3 linked regions of the Oryzias latipes genome follow. The protein of the gene in region 3 interacts with the protein of the main gene of each other region in a pairwise test. Links are inferred from orthologs where the notes say so. Each region holds a gene or a part of one and is shown on either strand. Other genes may lie near its edges. The genes, in order: myo5b, frk and bnip2.

Evidence for each region.
Region 1: the proteins of bnip2 (region 3) and myo5b interact in binary tests that used the Homo sapiens proteins (3 or more experiments, as listed by UniProt). The two-hybrid records come from large-scale screens. The link is inferred for Oryzias latipes from reciprocal best matches to the Homo sapiens genes BNIP2 and MYO5B.
Region 2: the proteins of bnip2 (region 3) and frk interact in binary tests that used the Homo sapiens proteins (3 or more experiments, as listed by UniProt). The two-hybrid records come from large-scale screens. The link is inferred for Oryzias latipes from reciprocal best matches to the Homo sapiens genes BNIP2 and FRK.

What each region holds. Positions count from the first base shown.
Region 1 is NC_019870.2:377,181-380,832, forward strand, and holds part of myo5b (unconventional myosin-Vb), read right to left. Parts: intron 3,393-3,652; coding exon 3,255-3,392; intron 3,187-3,254; coding exon 3,089-3,186; intron 2,170-3,088; coding exon 2,083-2,169; intron 1,991-2,082; coding exon 1,879-1,990; intron 1,805-1,878; coding exon 1,593-1,804; intron 1,445-1,592; coding exon 1,288-1,444; intron 909-1,287; coding exon 669-908; intron 581-668; coding exon 350-580; intron 266-349; coding exon 172-265; intron 73-171; coding exon 1-72. UniProt on the Homo sapiens protein: May be involved in vesicular trafficking via its association with the CART complex. The CART complex is necessary for efficient transferrin receptor recycling but not for EGFR degradation.
Region 2 is NC_019882.2:21,458,244-21,461,895, reverse strand, and holds part of frk (tyrosine-protein kinase FRK), read right to left. Parts: intron 3,543-3,652; coding exon 3,421-3,542; intron 2,261-3,420; coding exon 2,097-2,260; intron 2,023-2,096; coding exon 1,854-2,022; intron 1,217-1,853; coding exon 1,058-1,216; intron 1-1,057. UniProt on the Homo sapiens protein: Non-receptor tyrosine-protein kinase that negatively regulates cell proliferation.
Region 3 is NC_019864.2:17,091,662-17,095,313, forward strand, and holds the end of bnip2 (BCL2/adenovirus E1B 19 kDa protein-interacting protein 2), read right to left. Parts: intron 3,635-3,652; coding exon 3,536-3,634; coding exon of another isoform or gene 3,532-3,535; intron 2,244-3,531; coding exon 2,208-2,243; intron 1,725-2,207; exon of another isoform or gene 1,581-1,724; intron 1,178-1,580; coding exon 1,120-1,177; 3' UTR 335-1,119; downstream 1-334.

The sequences.
Region 1 (3,652 bases), on a different chromosome or scaffold from region 3:
CCTTCAGGAGGTTCTGGTACCGCCGTCGCTCCTCATCCAGCTCCGCCAGCAGAGACGCACTGCTGGCCTCCACTGTAACACGCAACACGCTTCCCACTCTCAGAACACGAGAACCTTGGATCCGTTTCTGCTCTTTGCTCTGACCTCCAGCCGCTGGAGAAGGTTCCTCACCTTTGCTGTTCCTACTCTGCTGCTGGATCTGCTGGTTGAGCTCCTCCTTCTGGCTTTTTAGCAGAGTGTTCTCCTCCTCCAGCTCCTCCACCCTCTGAGGAGCAAAAGGAGACGGTTCTCCGGTCAGGCTCTCCGTCCTCCTGACCCGCTCTGCAGATTCACCGGGCCGTTCCTTCACCTGTGACAGTTCCGTCTTCTCGCTGGCGTGCTCCTCCTCCAGCTTCTTCCTGGCGGCGATGGCCTCCTGCAGCTGCTGCCGCAGCCTCTCCAGCTCCTCCTGCAGCTCCCGGCCTCCGTCGCTCCGGTGGCTCCGGACCTCCTGCAGCTCCTTCTGCAGCTTGGAGACTTCGGAGCCCAGAGTGACGTTTACCGTCACCAGCTGCTCGTTCTGGACCTTCAGCTCTTTGGTCTAACGCACACACACATTCAGGGTTGTAGCTTGGACCTGCGTGCATGTGTGTGTGTGTGTGTGTGTGTGTGTGTGCGTGCACGGTCACCTGATCGTCCATCTTCCTCTGCAGCTGCACAATCTTCATCTCCATGCCGGTGTTCAGCTTCTTCAGGTGCTCGGCGGAGCGCGCCTCGATCTTCCGCTGCTTCAGTAGCCGTTTGGCCTGCATGCACCTGAACGCACACTGAATGACCACGGCGGCGGCGCGCGCACGTCTGAACCTCCTTCTCTGTAGCCAGCCGCGCACGTGCTTCTGGATGATCATGGCCTTGTGGTGCAGCAGGAACTGCAGAAGAAACGTGCACGTGAGGTCCAGCAGCAACCCAGAGCTGTGTGTGTGTGAGTGTGTTCCTGTGTGTGTGTGTGAATATGTGTGTGTTCCTGTGTGTGTGTGTGTTCCTGTGGGAGCAGACGTCTGAACTGCTCCTCCTGCATCTGAGGAGGTTCCTGCTCCTCAAAGCCTCTCTGAGAGGAGCAACAACAGGATCTGGGTCGGACTAGATCCGCTCTGGGTTCATGAAACCTCCTGGGAGGAGAAGCAGACAGAACATCCGACCTGCAGGGGACCTTAATCCTGCAGTTCTGCATGAGGAACCCTGAAGAACCCTGAAGAACCCTGCTCTCATCCTTCTGGATACCAGACCGAACAGAACCTGGGTCCATACCTCCCAGTAGATCCTGCGGGTCAGCGTTCCTCGGGTGAACGCCTGGATGGTGACAACGGCCCTCCTCTTCCTCAGGTAGGCCCGCCTCTCTCTCACCATGCGGTACTGTTTCTGGCAGAACAGGGCGGCCCGGCTATGGCGCAAGAACTCTGCGTACCTGAAGGAGAACCGGACAAATCCATAAACCTCTTCCTTGAAGGACCTGAACGGTTCTGGAGTTCAGGTGAACAGAACAGGAGAAGGTTAAGGGTTCTGCTGCTCAAGGACCAGAGCCTTGGACCGTCCCTCGTCTGAGGGGGACTCACCTGCGGGCCAGGTACCCCCTCCCGTATCTTTGCAGCGCCACGGCAGATCTGCGAATCTTGCGGTACCGGATCCTCTGCAGCCACCCCCGGACCGTCTTCTGGATGGCGATGCAGGCGGAGCGGAATTTGTCGGCCCGCAGCTTCTCCAGGTAAGCCACCTGGCCGGCCCGGAAGAAGATCTTCGTCTTCCCAAACTGGAACATGTCTGGTTCCTGCCGACACAGAGGAACGTGGATGCAGATCTGCCCGGCTGTCGTGCCGCCGCACACGCCCGCTTTCTTCTCACCTTAATCAGCGTCTCCAGCAGATTCTTACAGACCAGCTTCTTATCTGCAGCAGTCATGTCGGATCTCTTCATCAGAACCCGGTACCGGCTGAAGAACTCCAGGTACGTCCACCTGAACACACGTGCACACGCTTACATGCAGAGTCACATGACTACAACAGGTGACTGACAGAACAGATGCAGGAAAAGTTGTGCTGAACTTACCGCGACGGATACCCAGCAGCGCTGATCCGGATCGTCTCCAGAACTCCACAAGCCCGGAGCTGCTGCACAGCTCGCCGGGAATCAAACCTGTGTTGACACAAACATTTGAAAGATGTAGGTGCTTTCGGTCCCGAGCAAACCCAGCCGCTCACCTCATGGTTCTGCTGGACATCGGGACGGACGGGCAACGGCCCGACTGTCTGCTGCGGATGCCTAACACCGCGTGACCCGATTAGATTATCTAGAACAGCACATTCCTCACACAGCAGCTCCGCGGTTGTGACCAAACTCAGAGGTCACGAGGGTGCAGCTGATTGGCAGAAATGTGATGATGTCATCAGGAAGTCATGAACCTCTGGACTCACATGAAGGGACAGAAACCCTACGAGCATTTGTTAGGGTGTTGGGGGGGGGGGGGGGGGGGCATCCACCCCAGCAGAAGATAAACACCCACCTGAACATGTGATCATGTGACAGAATGAAACGCTATACACACGCGTGTGTGTGTGAAGTGTAGTTGTGTTGTTTACATGTTGACATGATTGTATGTGAAGGTTTTTGGAGCCAACAAGTATGTTTGTAACACCTGGGTTTGTGTGTGCACAGGCCTCTGTGTGTGTGTGTGTGTGTGTGTGTGAGACCATGTTTCTAATGTGAATGAGGGTTGCTTTTTGGGTCTTGTTTGAAGATGGTCATTTGGCCAAAACATCATTGAAAAGTGTCAAACCATCATCCCATATTTTTGCTGCTTTCCAGGGACGGCAGTCCCGCCCCTTTATGCTGTGATCATGTGACCTCAGCCCCACCCCCAAACACATCCACAGGAGTCCGTCCAATGAGAGGCAGCAGATGTCAAACCCAAGCAAACAACCAGATTATGGTGGTGGGCTTGGGTTCGGACCGTCTGAGGTTCTGTCATCTCTGTTCTCCAGGAGATCCTGCCTTCCAGCCCTGATAGAACCTTCCAGAACCAACAAACCAGTCTAAATCTAGCAGAAAAACTCACGAGAAGGCCTCCTTAAGGTCATTGGGTTTGATGCAGCGGACGTAGTGGGGCGTGGTGGCGTTCAGCGTGTCCATGAGGAGGTGCAGAGACGAGCGGAACTGAAACCCAGACACAGATCAGTCCAAACTCCAGACGGTCCAGGATCTGGGGAGACCTGCCAGCTCACCTGGAGCCCCACCGACTTCCTGTGCTCCTTGTTGGGAGCTTTTGGAGTCGACTTCAGAGCTCTGACGTTCACCCTGGAGGGCTTGGAAGAGGGCGGGGCATCATCCTTGTCCAGAAACAGATCGGCCACCATCTGAAACTGAAAGAAGACGAGGGTTTGCTCCAGACTCATGGGGGGACCAGGAAGACCGCAGTAACCGAGGTGACCTCTGCCAGAGACTAAACCTTCTCTCCCGTCCCAAAACCACCAGCAGATCAGCTGGAAGCTTTGGTCGGATCAGAGGCGAACCTACGATGGAAACTCTTTTTTGTTTCCGTTCAGGCTGCAGGCGATGAGTTCAGAGCCTGAAGAGCTTCATCGGGCTCTGACTGAAGGAACCCGTCTGATCCGAGACACGA
Region 2 (3,652 bases), on a different chromosome or scaffold from region 3:
TCCTTTAAACTCTTCATATGACAGCACTCTGGGAACATCCAGCTTCATGTTGCAATAATCCTTTTGGGTCTATGCAGGTGTTTTACATGATCTAAATAGTCTCTGAACATGTCTGTGGTTGTGTAGTTGCATGGCTCGCTGTGGCCCGACAGTGGCTGGGATAGGCTCCAACAACCCCGTGGCCCCAAAAGGAATTAAACATATTTTTAAAAACGGATTGATCAAGAAAAACCATTCTGAAAATCTGGATTTTCCGACCATAGAGGATTGGTTTAAACAGAGGTTTTGAAGATTCTTCCTCTGGAAAGATTAACACATGCGCTTCGTGACAACATTGACGAGTTTAAAAAAGTCTGGCAACCAGTTCTGGATAAGACTAATCTTTCTTTGGATTGAACTCTGTTCTGGTGAAATGTGAAAAAAAAAAAAAACCTGTACTAGCCTTTTGCTGCTGGTGATGAAGGTTGATTGGTGATTTGTTTTTGTTTTTTTGTTTTTTTAATTTTTTTATTTTATTTTAATTATTATTTCTTTTAACCTGCTGCCTGTATATGTTAGGTTGTGATGTTAAAAAGAAAATATGGGTTTGTAAACTTCTTTATGTTCTATTTTTCATGGTTGACTATGTTTTCACTACACAAATAAAAAGAGAAAAAAATGGATTGATGGAATGAAAGGCTAAAAAATCTGATTAGTTTGCATCTGACCCAGTTTTGAGGATCAAAATGGCTCTGCAGATACTTCATTTTCATTCTTAAAACAAGATTTCTGGGTAAAATCTTTTACCCCACGTTTGCTTTTAGAAATTCTAGACCTTTTGGTACAAAGACTACTTTTTATGTAAATCAATACAGCTACTGTAAATCTTGCCAGATAGCATCACCAGTCAGCACACCTGTATTATTTAAAATGAGACCTAAACTCTTCCTCATTTTTAGCCAGTCTGTTTTATTCCTAGTCTGTGCAGCATCCCATGATGCCAGCTGTGATCTGAAGCGCGGCTCTGGAGCCTGATCCTCCAACGGAGCAGAAGCAGCTTAAAGGAAGGTAGTCTTACTCTGCAGGTAGTCCAACAGGCTGCCATGCTTCATCAGCTCAGTGATGATGTAGATGGGCTCCTGCAATGTGCAGACGGCGTACAGCTGGATTAGCTTGGGATGCCGCAGCTTCTTCATGATCTGAGCCTCCATCAGGAAGTCCTTCGGATCCATGGAGCCTGAGGGGTGGAACAGAGTTTCTTTAACACAGGTCATGGATCTGAAGTGGTATTTAAGGGTGAATAGATGCTCCGCTTCCTCAGGATTTCATGTTCAGACAGAATCTAACGACACTCATCCAAGTCTTCATCGCTAAAACTACAAGTTCTTGCTTTACAAAACCATTCTCAGACAGCTTCTGATCAGAATGCTCCCTCTGAAAAGTTCATCCAAACTCATCCCTCCTGTTGAAGTTTTCACCCAGACCTCTGGTCTGATCTCATTGTTTCCTAACTGCTGCATTTAATTCATCTGTTTTCTTGGCAACTTTATTATTCTGAAGAATTTGCTTGATTTCTAAATAAAAACCATAAACAGTTTGTGCAATTAAACCGTTGTACATTAAAGTGATAAGAGCAAAAGTTCCTTATTGCCGTCGTGTGATAACACCCGACCAAACTTCATGAAAACTGAACAAAGTTCAGGTGGATTTCAACTTCCTGCTTTCTCGAAAAAAGCTGTTCTTCCTTTTCAGCCTCCTTCTTTATGGCTTTAAATGCTTAAACGACTAAAAGGATCTCATCTTCTGCTCAGTCCTGCTCGGAAAAACTAATTATGTTTCACTGTCGATGCACAAAGGAGATCATGCTTGTGTACCGGGTTTGAGGGTCTTCACAGCTACAGGTGTGGTGTTGTTCCACAGGCCCTCATACACTTCTCCAAACTGGCCGGCTCCCAGTTTATTCTCCATTTTGATGGAGCTGCGATCGATCTCCCAGATGTCCGCTGTGTTGTAGGACAGACCGAAGGTCTGCGGGGCCTCCAACTGCACAGACAGGAGCCAGTGTGGGTGAACTGGACTGTTTCAGGTCTGGGTAATGAAAGTACAATAAACCTCACCTTTTTGCACGGTTGGCCAAGACGTACGCACAGACCGTCAGCCTGTTTGGAGTAAAATTCCACCAACTCTTTCAAATTTGCAAAGGATCTGTTCTTAGACACAAAGAAGTCACCGTTGGGGGCTTTCCTTAGCTTGTAATGCTTCACCTTTCCACTGTCCAATACTAGAAAAAAGAAATAAAGTCAAGGATTAAAGTAAATAAAATGACAGACTTAAACTTTTTTAGATTTGGGAATTCTTAAAGCATGAATCAGTGCAGCCAGAATCACCTGCACTGCTCAGTTTGTCTGAAAAAAAGAAAAAAGCTTCAGAACCAAACTCCACTTGGATCATAGGATAAAGTTTATGATCTGTTTTAAAGCAAAAGAGGCTTAAAAGTACATTGAACTCAAACTCCAAGTCAGAGAAAACCCCCACCTGTAAAGCCTTATTCATGAGACAATAAAACATAAAGCATTATTTTCTCAGTCAGCCTTTATAAGCTTAGTTTAGGGAAAAGTAAAATAACAAGCGCTAAAGTAAAACTAATAAATACATTTCCATTCAGACTGTGGTTAAATGCACTTTAATACATTGAAGGCTGTTCTCCAAGACTGAAATGAAAAAAACTGGGGGGTTTTTTCTGGTTAATTCTGCTTCAACAGCTCACTGAACTTGAACTGAAGTGTTGACAAATCCTGACTGATCAGCCGTGTCCATTTTCAAAATGCTCCTAGCAGGATAAGCCAAAAGGTGAACAACTCCTGAGTCTGCAGGTCGTTTATTGCTCTGTGAAGAGCAAACACTTGAGTACGAGTCTGAAACTCCGGAAGGTGTGAGGAAATGTCTGCACGTTCTTACAGCCTGGAGCAGAACCAAGAACCAACAAAGATTACAGTCAGGAGGACAAAAATAGAGTCTTGAGTCTTTGTGGGGTATTTTTGGATGGCTCGTTGAAATAAAAGCTGATTTCCATGAGTCACATTCAAATGTGTGACTCATCCTGACGACAGTGGGTGTGAGCGGAAACGGATCAGGAACCGGTCTAAAGAATGAGCATGCTCGGAAGGAATTCTGCATGTGGAAAGAACCAGGCCACACAGCAAAATCAGATCATAGGACTGAGATAAAGTTATTGCTCTGTTTTTATGTGGTTGTTTAGTCCTAAACTGCCCGTCATTACACTGCCTGACCTGCACTCCAGCTTCCTGAAAAGATAAAATGGCGTGCTGTGATTTACAGCTCTGCTGCAGAAATGAATTTTAAGTCTTATCTTTTCCTTTAACGGAAAACTGACCTGCAGGACCAATTAGCGATTTCTATAAATGAATTTCCTCGACTGACCTGAGAGGGACAGCTCTCCCTTCTGACTCTCACAGTCTCTGATGAGGAAAGCACCGTGAGAGTTCCCTTCAGCCAGCAGCATCTTCTCAGCATCCAGCCTCTTAGTTTCTGGAAAGTACCACCTGCAAGATAATCAGGAACACATAACATCTGAATGTCAGAGAATCCATTTTTTTATATCATTTTCAGATCAAAGATGTGTTCTTGAGATAAAAAAAACTTTCATCTTTAC
Region 3 (3,652 bases):
CAGCTGTTTTCTCACTCCACCCTGATGCAATAAAAAACAAAAGTCTTGAAATGTATAAACTATAATATTTCTGTTTTGGTAATGCTAAAAATGTTGAGATGTTTATGAATGGCAATGTAACATTTAAAAACCACATATTTGTAGTTTTGAGTTATATACTTTTGTTTTCCTCCTATTGTGCTTAAAATGAAGGCATTTTGACCTTTTAAAATATCAGGCATTAAATGTGATTACGCACATTCATTTGGTGGATACAGCTTTTCAATACATTTTCATTAAAATTCTTTTTGTATCTTAAATTTTCAGTAAACGAAATAAAAATTCAAAACAGAGATGTGACTTATTGTCTTTACTTTGGTAAAAATAATGACGAGATTGTGCTCACAAATACCCATCCACCACTAGAGGGCGCATTCAAGAACACGGTTACAATCAGGAAGTCCTGTAATTTGTTGTCGGACTCCTTTTGTTGGCCAGGAATGTGCATGACATGCTGGTTTGGTTTGAAGATTTCTGCTTTTATGTCCAGTTCCATACGCAACATACTTGTGACCATTGATGAGAAAAGTGGCATAACGACGTTTTGACTAAAATGTGGCCCCAAAAAAAAAAAAAGGTTATTTTCTCCAGGCACGATTTGAGATCGTCAGCAGTAGGCACTGGCAAAAAAGGTCCATTCAAAAGGCTTTCTATGAAACTCTACGACTCAGAGACCTAAAATTCCATTTAAAAAGCAGACCATACAAATATATTAATCTCTCTCCTTTGACACCATTTGAATATAAATATATATATTTAAATGTAATAAAGCAGAACATGCATTAACCACTTGTAACAGAGTGACTTTAGCGGTGAAGATACAACAGAAACGAATGAACACCAATAACCCAAAGGTGACATAACAGACGGGGGTAAATAAAAGGATTAAAAACATTCCAAAAAACAGAGCATTAAACGGCTTGATACAAACATACAGCCCAAAAAAAAAGACATGATGATGTAACAGGCAGGAAATCTTCAAAAAGCCACTTTCATGATGCAAGATGCGTTTACAGATCATTCTGAAGAAAAACATGGATGCGACTGCAGTTCCCAACGTTTTTTGCACGTCTTGCAGAGTCACTTCGGAGCAGCAGAGGCAGCAATCCCTACTTTGCTGTGCATTTCCTGGTCGATTCTGCAAAACAGATCCAGTAATCAGGACACTTCTCATTTACAGTCGTCAGGGGGTGTATTGGTGGTGTATCGTTAGGTGTATTGGGTTACCCCACTTTCAATGAACCTTGACTCCTAAACTGATCCACACCTTTAAAGGTTGAGATGGGTGTCTGATAAGAACTTTACAACAACCTCATGATGGGTCTGAAGAGCAGGAATATCAATACAGTTCTGCTGAAGACACTAAATGAATATTTGTTCCTGCTAGTTTACCGTCTGTCACATGTCGCGTCTGCACACAGAAAGTGTACTAAAAACTCATGCACTTTTGTTGTCAAATGCCAGAAAGTTGAGCGAATTCATGCCTTAATACGCTGATAACACACACAGTGAAGATCCCAAAAGTGACAAGTTTAATGTACCTGATATTTATTATCGATGTGCCCACCCAGCTAAAGACCTCTAACAATCATCAAACATCGGCAGGGAAAAGCAGTGGAGCAAGTCATGCACAGGGGAGTAAACAGGTTGGGTGGTGTTCAGTGAGGGATGGTTAATGGACATTACTGTAAGAGAAGATGAAGGTGAATGTGCAGCAGTGCAAACACGCACACCACAGTGACTCAGATGAGATACTTCCTTCCTTTCCGTCTTAATCTGTTCAGTTAAACAGACTTGACGGACCTAACAAATGCTAGCCACGCTAGGCCTGTTTCATTGCCTACAATCCAGATTCCACCAAATGATCAACATCACTGAGAAAGATTGTACTAAAAGCTTCATAAGTGGGTTTTACACCAAATGCTTTTTTGAAGTAGAAAGATTTTTTATGGGAATATTGCAGAATTGGACTAGACAACAACAATTTGTTTTCCTGGAAAAAAAATGTCTGTTGAACTGGAGAGAATGCAAAACAAACTCAATAAATCCTAAATCTATGAAGAGCGGGTGCCTTAGTGCATCTCTGAAAGCTACCAGATTCTCTAATTGTTAGTTCCATAAAAAATAAAAAGGATGCAGTGACCAACCCTTGAAGAAAGTGCCAATACCTTTTTGGGTTTTTCCTATTTTTTTCAGCATCAAACCTTTAGGAGGGGGCAGGGAGACTGGGTTAAGCACATGAAACATGACAACTAACAGCAAATTCAACAGAGCAGACACTTCTTCCTAAATGTGTTAGGTTGAGGTGGTGTACTGCCTTTAAAAACATTGATGGAAAATGTTCTGAAGGGCAAAAACTGTTCAGCTGCATACACAACACGCATTCAAGTGACCACTTTAGATGTTAAGTCTGTGTAAAGGTGCAGATGAGGGTTTCAGGCTCATTCATTCATCTTTTAATCCGTTTTGTCCCTTTCGGTGTCACAGAGCTGCTGGAGCCTATCTCAGCCACTTGCGGGCCAAGGCAGGGGACATCCTGGACAGGTCGCCAGTCTGTCACGGGGCCACAATGACAGGCTGAGAGAGCACATTACTGAAGGTGGATCACACGCCCTGTGTACGGAGCTTTACGCAGGACTGTTTTTATTACGGTACATTTTGTCTGTGCCTTATTGTCTTAAGATCATCTGAGTCAGAATGATAAAGGAACTTTGCTTTTAATTCTCTTTTTTATGGTAATGGTTCTGTTTTAGGTCAAAGCATGCACCTCTCATCTGAGGATTTAATTTCATCCCGGCCCCCTGAGACGTGATAACTGTCCCTTTCATTTAAAATGATTTAGGCTACATTAGTTATAGTTCCCCAAGAGTAACTCGCACAGAAGACTGCAACTCAGTGGACTGTATCTAGTAGATATGGTCACAACCGGCGGATGAAGTCCGAACTGTCTATTCAAGGAGTTTGAAGGATCACACCTGGACTCTCACTGCCAATTAAAACTCAAAAGAAATGTTTTGGAAATAAACATGGGCCCAAAAAGAGCAGAGCCAATGAAACATTTTTTTTTACTTCTGCTGAAGTTTTGCTTTGAATCAACAATAGAAATTTGTTTAAAGTAGGGATGTCACATTATCGTGCAATTTGCAATTGATTACAGTCAAATTAGCGCGTCTTAAAAAAAAAAAAAATCATGTTTATCTAATTTCAAATCTTAAACAATTGCCATGTTCTCTGTTGTAACTGTTTACTTGGATGGATGTTTTTTATTTGAACACACCTGAAAATGTCTCTTACATTGCTCCCAGTGTGTGGCTTTTTAAAGCAATTATTGAGTAAAGAATAATTGTGATTAATAATTACAGGTCACAATTAATTAATTAATTGCATAAAAAAATGAATCGTCTCTTAAATGAATTAGTCTACACCTACATTTTCCTGCTGTCTTGACTTTAACGTACTAAAAGCCTGTCATTTTTTGGAAAAACATGCTACTTACTGTTTGATACAATCTGGTATTGACACATACTCCATCGGGACAAGTTCAGCAAGGTCCGTCAAGCTGTAAACATACTTGATTTTCTGGGTAAATTTAGAGCTGTAAAAAAAAAAATTA